2 linked regions of the Nothobranchius furzeri genome follow. The protein of the gene in region 1 purifies or fractionates together with the protein of each later gene. This does not show direct contact. Links are inferred from orthologs where the notes say so. Each region holds a gene or a part of one and is shown on either strand. Other genes may lie near its edges.

What was found. Proteins that work in one complex are often made in the same cells at the same time.
Region 2: the proteins of sf3b1 (region 1) and snrpd2 fractionate together in Homo sapiens (co-fractionation; 5 studies listed by BioGRID and IntAct, with this or other methods). This does not show direct contact. The link is inferred for Nothobranchius furzeri from reciprocal best matches to the Homo sapiens genes SF3B1 and SNRPD2.

Annotation. Positions count from the first base shown.
Region 1 is NC_091754.1:36,036,794-36,040,447, reverse strand, and holds part of sf3b1 (splicing factor 3B subunit 1), read left to right. Parts: intron 1-342; coding exon 343-522; intron 523-593; coding exon 594-680; intron 681-1,014; coding exon 1,015-1,285; intron 1,286-3,654. UniProt on the Homo sapiens protein: Component of the 17S U2 SnRNP complex of the spliceosome, a large ribonucleoprotein complex that removes introns from transcribed pre-mRNAs.
Region 2 is NC_091753.1:27,245,872-27,249,625, reverse strand, and holds the start of snrpd2 (small nuclear ribonucleoprotein Sm D2), read right to left. Parts: upstream 2,553-3,754; 5' UTR 2,417-2,552; coding exon 2,415-2,416; intron 1,445-2,414; coding exon 1,265-1,444; intron 1-1,264. UniProt on the Homo sapiens protein: Plays a role in pre-mRNA splicing as a core component of the spliceosomal U1, U2, U4 and U5 small nuclear ribonucleoproteins (snRNPs), the building blocks of the spliceosome.

The sequences.
Region 1 (3,654 bases):
CTTAAACAAATGTCCATTTATTGGTGAACACCAGAGGGAAATGCCTACTGGTTCTTGTTGTCCTGATGCTTTTGCGTCTAACAACAAATCGGACAGTGACCTTTGACCCCCACAGACTTTTTGCTGTGACCTTCTGTATAGTGATGTTCGTTTGTTTAGGTTTATAAACTACAGCTAGTATTTTTTTTTCACAAAGTGCAAATAAAAAGATCAGCAGGTGCCAGTTTGTTCCACGTAGCAGAGAAAAGGTCTGCTTCAGCAGGCAGTTGGTGCAACCGCTAAACCAAAGTACTTCTGTGTGTTTGTGAGGCTTTTATCTGACGCGTCTCTTTTCTTTATCAGGCGGCTCTGCGTCAAATCACAGACAAAGCCCGTGAGTTTGGAGCTGGTCCCCTGTTCAATCAGATCCTGCCGCTGCTCATGTCGCCTACCTTGGAAGACCAGGAGCGCCACCTGCTGGTGAAAGTTATCGACAGGATTCTCTACAAACTGGATGACCTGGTTCGGCCGTATGTGCACAAGGTGGGTTCACTGCGGAGACGTGCATTTGTCTCTATGGATGTTGGCGCTCTAACCTGAGCTTTTCTCTTCAGATTCTCGTGGTGATTGAGCCTCTGCTCATTGATGAGGACTACTATGCTCGAGTTGAAGGCAGAGAGATCATCTCTAATTTAGCGAAGGTATTGTTTAGCTGCCATTTGCTTTTGTTGATGTAACAGAGAAATGACGCGAACCTTTCTCGCCTGGTTGACCAGTTTGTGGTCTGATCAGGGCTAGTTGTTCGCCAGATTGATACCAACATGAGAGCATGCAGACCTGACCTTAATGCCTAGTCTGTTCTCAACCTGCACCCGTTGGTTACAGTTCCTCTGCAAAGAAGCAGCATCTGTTAAATACTTCAGCATGAGTGCACAGTCATAGTTATAAAGTGTTTGTTCTGCTGACTGATGCTGTGTTTGGGCTTTCAGTGGTAATCAGAGTAACCTGTGAACTTGTTTTTCTCATGTTTTTAAGGCTGCTGGTTTGGCTACAATGATTTCCACAATGCGACCTGATATTGACAACATGGATGAGTATGTCAGAAACACGACTGCTCGAGCCTTCGCGGTGGTGGCCTCGGCTCTTGGTATCCCCTCCCTCCTGCCCTTCCTCAAAGCTGTGTGCAAAAGCAAGAAGTCGTGGCAGGCGCGACACACGGGCATCAAGATAGTACAGCAGATCGCCATCCTGATGGGCTGCGCCATTCTGCCTCATCTGCGTAGCTTGGTGGAGATTATCGAACACGGTCAGTCGGACCCTCATCCACAAATCTTTTAAAGCACCAATCACGTTCTGTTACAGGTGATCGCGTTAAAGCCATGACTCGGTGTGTTTTACACTGAGTAAAAAAGAAAAGGTTTAATCCTTTATAAATGACATTATTATTATTAGTGGGGACGTTCCATCACATTGGGTGAAAAGGATCAGATACAACCTTATAAATCAGCAAGCATAACCTTTTAAACTAACCCTGAGATTTAGGTGAAAGACTGTTGTCAAGCGCCTTGTGAGGTTCTGGAACTCTGTAAATACAGTCCTCTTACCAAAACGGTAACCATAACGATCTGCAGTAGTTTCTGTGGAGGTTAGGGCTGGGGGTAAACGATTATTTTTAAAACGATTATCCTGACGATTTTTTATCGAATAGTCAACTATTCTAGTGACTAGAGCAGGGGTCGACAACCTGTTCCCATCAAAGAGCCATTATTACCCGTTTCCCACAGTAAAGAAAACACTGGGAGCCACAGCAGCCGCGGCGTTGTGGGCGGGGCCTACCCTCAGACAGCAGAGCGCTGCCTTAACCAATCACAACAGGTGACAGCAGTCGGTACCGGTCGCTCGTGTACGTCAAAGTTATCTTTCATAAAAAAGATAATCAATAAAATGATTTATATAAAGTGGATCCAGAAGTTGTAGCCCGTCTCTGCCTACAATATTTTGATATTTTTCACCCTGTTGGTTTTACTGAGCAGGTGCCACTTTTGTCATACGTTTCTTTTTACAACATGTTTAGACTGTTCAGAATACAAATCCAGGCTCTGTCACGTTTGATTGTTGTAATTAAACTTTGTAGGTGGGGAAGGTCAGAAAAGGATCCGATCAGTTTGTTTTTCCCTCATTTACAGCAGCGGAGATAACGACGCAGTGCGCCTGGCTCTGGTGTTAATCAAGTTAAATTATATCTCTTTGCAACAATTTTCACAAGAAAACAAAACAGTTAAAAGCAGGGCTTGTGTTGTGTTGACCGGACAGTTCCCGTATTTGACCGTTTATTTTGACGGAGAAAGAATAGAAAGAATTACCCCGACGCATGCAGACAAACTGACATTTTATTCTACACACATCGCAGATGTAGCTAAATCACTCAAGAAAAGATTCCCATCTGAACATCTGAGCTGGACATTGCTCAGCGCAGCTCACTGTCAGCGCATACGTATGGTACACAGCGAGCTGAAGATGTGGAGAGGGGCTTGGAGCGCGTCGCAGAACCAGAGCGCATGCGTGAAGATTCCTCCCACTGAAGCGAGACTTGTCACTTAGAAAATGTTCCCTGATTATGAAACTTTGGCTGAATAGCGCTTGTTCCTGTCTCCAATGTGGCGACACATCCAGGAGCCTGTCTGAGGAGAATCCCAGAATCTCACATCCTCTTCAGCTCGGAAAGTGCCTATGATTACGCACAAGCGTGACGCGTCAACCCGGTCTCACAGTAAGACTGGGTTGGACCTGTTCAGGTTTACGCAGACAACCTTTACATTTAGAATTAGCTTACAGATGTAAAATTAATGCAGTAAAATATAAAGCATTTTATTTAAATATCCATTCATTATTTTACAAGCATAGAGAGCCGCATCAGATGGATGGAAGAGCCACATGTGGCTCCAGAGCCGCGGGTTGCCGACCCCCGATTTAGACAATTAATCTAGTAATTATTTTCTTATTGCATAATTAATAAAAACAAGAAAATCTCTTAATAAATTCCTCCAAGAAATTGATCAATTGTTACTGTAATAGAATAAACGCTACAGACCTTCCATTTTGTATAACACTGCTTTTATTGTGTTGCGGTTGGTTATGTTCTGGTGACGTGTAGAACTTGGGAATGCAGCCTGCTGCCTGAGAGGTGGTTGGAGAAGGAGTGTCTCCATGCTGCTTTGTTTTGGTCACTTATGTGTGTGAGGCGAGTGGTGTTATGACCCTTCCTGGGGAGTTTGGCTCGTGTGCAAAAAGGAAGGGACAATAGCGGGATTTAAAAGTTAAAATGATGATCAGGGTTCTTTACAACTACAAAAAAACATAAATCTTTCCATCCACAGGTTGGGAATAATAAAACTAATTCTGCCCGTGGGGAATTAAAACAAAAGTACAAATAAGTAGGGATGTCCCACTGGGCAAAGATTACAGGGTTCTGGACCAAAATAAGGATCTGCAAAGGTCCAAACTCTAAACTGGGCGGTTAAACCAAACTCACGGTGATATCTTAAACTAAACCAAAAACCCACAACACTCTAAATGTAATAAAAGGGAGATCTACACCACAAAAACGATGAACTCTAAACCAAAACGTAACGGCTTATCCAAACGCAAGAAGCTGTTAGCGAAAATGCTAACAGT
Region 2 (3,754 bases), on another chromosome or scaffold:
AGCTGTTAGCGAAGATGCTAACAGTAGCTTTACCAAAAGTTCAAGTTACCAAGTTTAAATAAACCAAAAACACCCGGCAGCAAACAGACCAGCAGGGAGGAGAGACTGCTACCACCAAAACAGCTCTCCTCATGTCTGAAAGAAGCTCCTTTATGAAGGGAGAAGCGCTCCCGGTGATTTTCTACATCTGCGATAGACATGAAGCAGCGCATCTGACCCCGGAAGTTGTTGTCCGTTGCCGGGAGACGAAGGGGAAAAACAGGAAAATAATCTAGTAGTGGACGGACATTGTTCCGGGTCTTCGGTATTTGGCGGAGATGTTAGTGAAGGCGGAGAAGAGGGCAAACTAGAGGAAAAACAGGCAGATTCCTCCTCTATTTACAAACTCCTGGGGATGCAACAAGTGGGCGCGGTGCGTCAACTTCCGGATCTGACGTCGACAAATTTTTAGAATCGAGCCGTCGACTTCGTCGAGGCTTCGCTACAGCCCTAGTTTTAGGTGCCTACCTCCATTTGACTGTTTAGCATTTGTATTAACAGGTTACTACAGGGGTGCCCAATCCTGGTCCTGGAGGGCAGGTATCCAGCAGGTTTTGTGTTTTTTCTGCTCCAACAGACATGATTCAGTGGTTGAAACACCTGTGCAGCAGCTCATCAGGCTCTGCAGAAGCCAGTTAATTAGCTGCTGATTGAAATCAGGTGTGTTGAAGCGGAGTTCAAACTAAAACATGCAGGACCAGGATTCCGGCACCCCTGGGTTACAAAGTTAACTAAAAGCTGTTTGATAAGCTATCATCGGGTATATTAGGGCACCCTGGTGCAATAAGCTATACTTTTATGCATGATGACATGATTAGTTGACTAATCGTCAACAAAACTGGTGATTAGTCTACTATTAAAATTGTCTTTTGTGGCAGCCATACCTAAATGTGATTTTAAGTTTTTTGACTCTGCCATCCAAATGCATAAATGCATGGTGGCGCAGTTGTTAGCACTGTTGCCTCGCAGCAAGAAGGTTGCAGGTTCGAAACTCGGCTGTGGCCTTTCTGCGTGGAGTTGAGTGTTCTCCCCATGCATGCATGGGTTTCCTCCAGGTACTCCGGTTTCCCCTACAGATCACAACATGCCCTACAAGTAAAAAATTGTACGTCGCTATGGATAAAAGCGTCTGCAAATAAATAAACATAAAAAGCTAAATGTAAAATTTTCTCGCATAGATGCAGAACTCTGAATGTTTTTTTTTAGATGAAAATTCTTTCAATACCTGTCAAAAGCTTTAACTCTTCCAAGCAGCTTCTTATTGTTGCGGCAGTTGATGAGGACTTGAGTGTTGTTTTTCACTGACTGGGTGAGCACCGACAGGGGGCCGGTGTTGAACTCCTCCTCCTCCCGCTTCTGGAGTTCTTCTGGTGTCATCTCTGATTTGGGCTTCGTCAACAGACTCCTACACAAAAGCAGACACGATACTAGATCATTTGCTTCTGCACAGATAACGGTCACAAGTCCTTTTAGCGGTTTGCTTTTAAAACTTACATGATTACAAGATAATAAATGAAAACAAGGCACCCTAACTAAATGCAATTCAAGAAACCTGACTTTAACCGAGATTAAAATTTAAATCTCTCAGTAGAAGAGTGGGGAAGTTCCCATAGGCATTTAACAAAACTAATAACTTATTTTAAAAAATTTACACCAAGCTACTTTTAGCAATAGCCAAATATTCAACAATATCAGACATACACGTTTAATTTACTGGTTAGCAATCAGAAGTTAAAAAAAATTGAAGAGATTAGAATGACAAGTTTTGCATTAACAATTAACTGTTTCTCTGAGTTTCTTCATAACCTTCCTTTACTCTTTTGTATCAAGCAATGGATTTCTTAGAAGATTGATTAAAAAAAACATGTGGAACATCCTTGAGACAGAACGTCGCTAACAATGATGTTCTGAATTAAAATAAGCTCATATGCTTCAAAAACATAAAGCCGACTTCGTTACTAGGCTAATATCCTGACAATTTCATTCTCCAAACGCACATTTTAGAAAGTTGGTCAAACTGTTATCTACGGGGAACACAATTTGACTCAACACCGGTCTCCTTAATCGTGCTGCTAATATTTCGCAATTGGCAAACATAAAATTTAAACAATCGTAGCATCATTAACGATCACCAACGTAACTACTACATATATTTTATTGCAGTAATTACCCTGTACATATTAGGTTAATGGTGAGTAAAATATGAAAAGCGATAGCACGTTTAGAAAGCAACACAACGTGAGCTAACTAGCATTCATCAGTGAAAAGGCTAAACATGTTAGCATTCGAGAAAAGACGCTGCGACTCGTAGCTGATACTCTATCTCAAAAAATGACACTTTCCGAAATGGCTATCTCATCATCAACGACACTTACATGATTGGTGGTTTATAAAAACTGTTTAAAGCTGTTTTTCTCTCGTTTCCACCGTCTAATTCTTATGAGCAACGCTTCTGCCTTCTTCTCGTGGACGAAAACACTTCCGGGTCATTCTCAACGCGCTCTAAACAGTTCGCTATAACTTCCGGGTTACGGAGATTCTGCTCGGTAAGTGTAATGGAAAAAAAATCATCCATAAATGTAAAAATCTTGAAACTATTATTTTCTTAGTTACTTTTTTCCTAAATTCTATCTATCTATCTATCTATCTATCTATCTATCTATCTATCTATCTATCTATCTATCTATCTATCTATCTATCTATCTATCTATCTATCTATCTATCTATCTATCTATCTATCTATCTATCTATCTATCTATCTATCTATCTATCTATCTATCTATCTATCTATCTATCTATCTATCATCATCATCATCATCTATAGTAGTTCTTCAATACAGTTCCAACACAACCAGTGCATAGAACAAGCGTGTAAAAGGTAAGCCCCTCTTTTTTCGTCATTGCTTATTCTTCATACGTCATGAAGCTGATGCCCAACTCTAGCACTCATCAGTCAAGAGGTGAGTCCTTGGATGGGTCACCAGTCTAGCACAGGGCCACATGGAGACAAACAGGGACAAACAAATATGTATTTATATTTAGAGACACAATGGAACCTAAATGTTCTTGTTGTATCCAGTGAAAACCAGTGTATGCATGGCCAGAATGCACTTTGAAGAAAGGCAACCTTGCAACCTTCTTGTTGTGGGGAAGCAGTACCATTTGTACCATGCAGCCCTATATCAAAAACTCTCTCCTCACAAAGTAAAGAGGAAATAAATAAGACTGAGGAAGCAGACCTCTCCGTAGTCTGCAGCCCAAACAGGTAAGCCTTTGTTTCGCTGTTTAACACAGCAAAGGTGTGTGTGTGTGTGTGTGTGTGTGTGTGTGTGTGTGTGTGTGTGTGTGTGTGTGTGTGTGTGTGTGTGTGTGTGTAAAGGAGAGAAACGGGTATATGTGGCAGCAACGAGACACTAAGAGATTGGCTTTCTGGCAAGAGACAGACAGACGCCTATGGGTGCTCAACCCACCCACCTTGTTCCAAAGGTTACAGATCTACCTGTGGAAATCACTTGCTGTAGATAATGGCAGGCTGTGTGTTGCTGGGAGAGGTGAATGAGTGGGATTGGTTTCCAGACTGCACGGTTCTATACCTTTACCAAGCACACTCACCCTAGACTCTTGCATCTTGAGATGCAGACTAAAATGAGCTCAGCGTTACCTTACATGGGATGGAGCTGCATTCTCTAATCTGAACACACTACAGTGGCCCAAT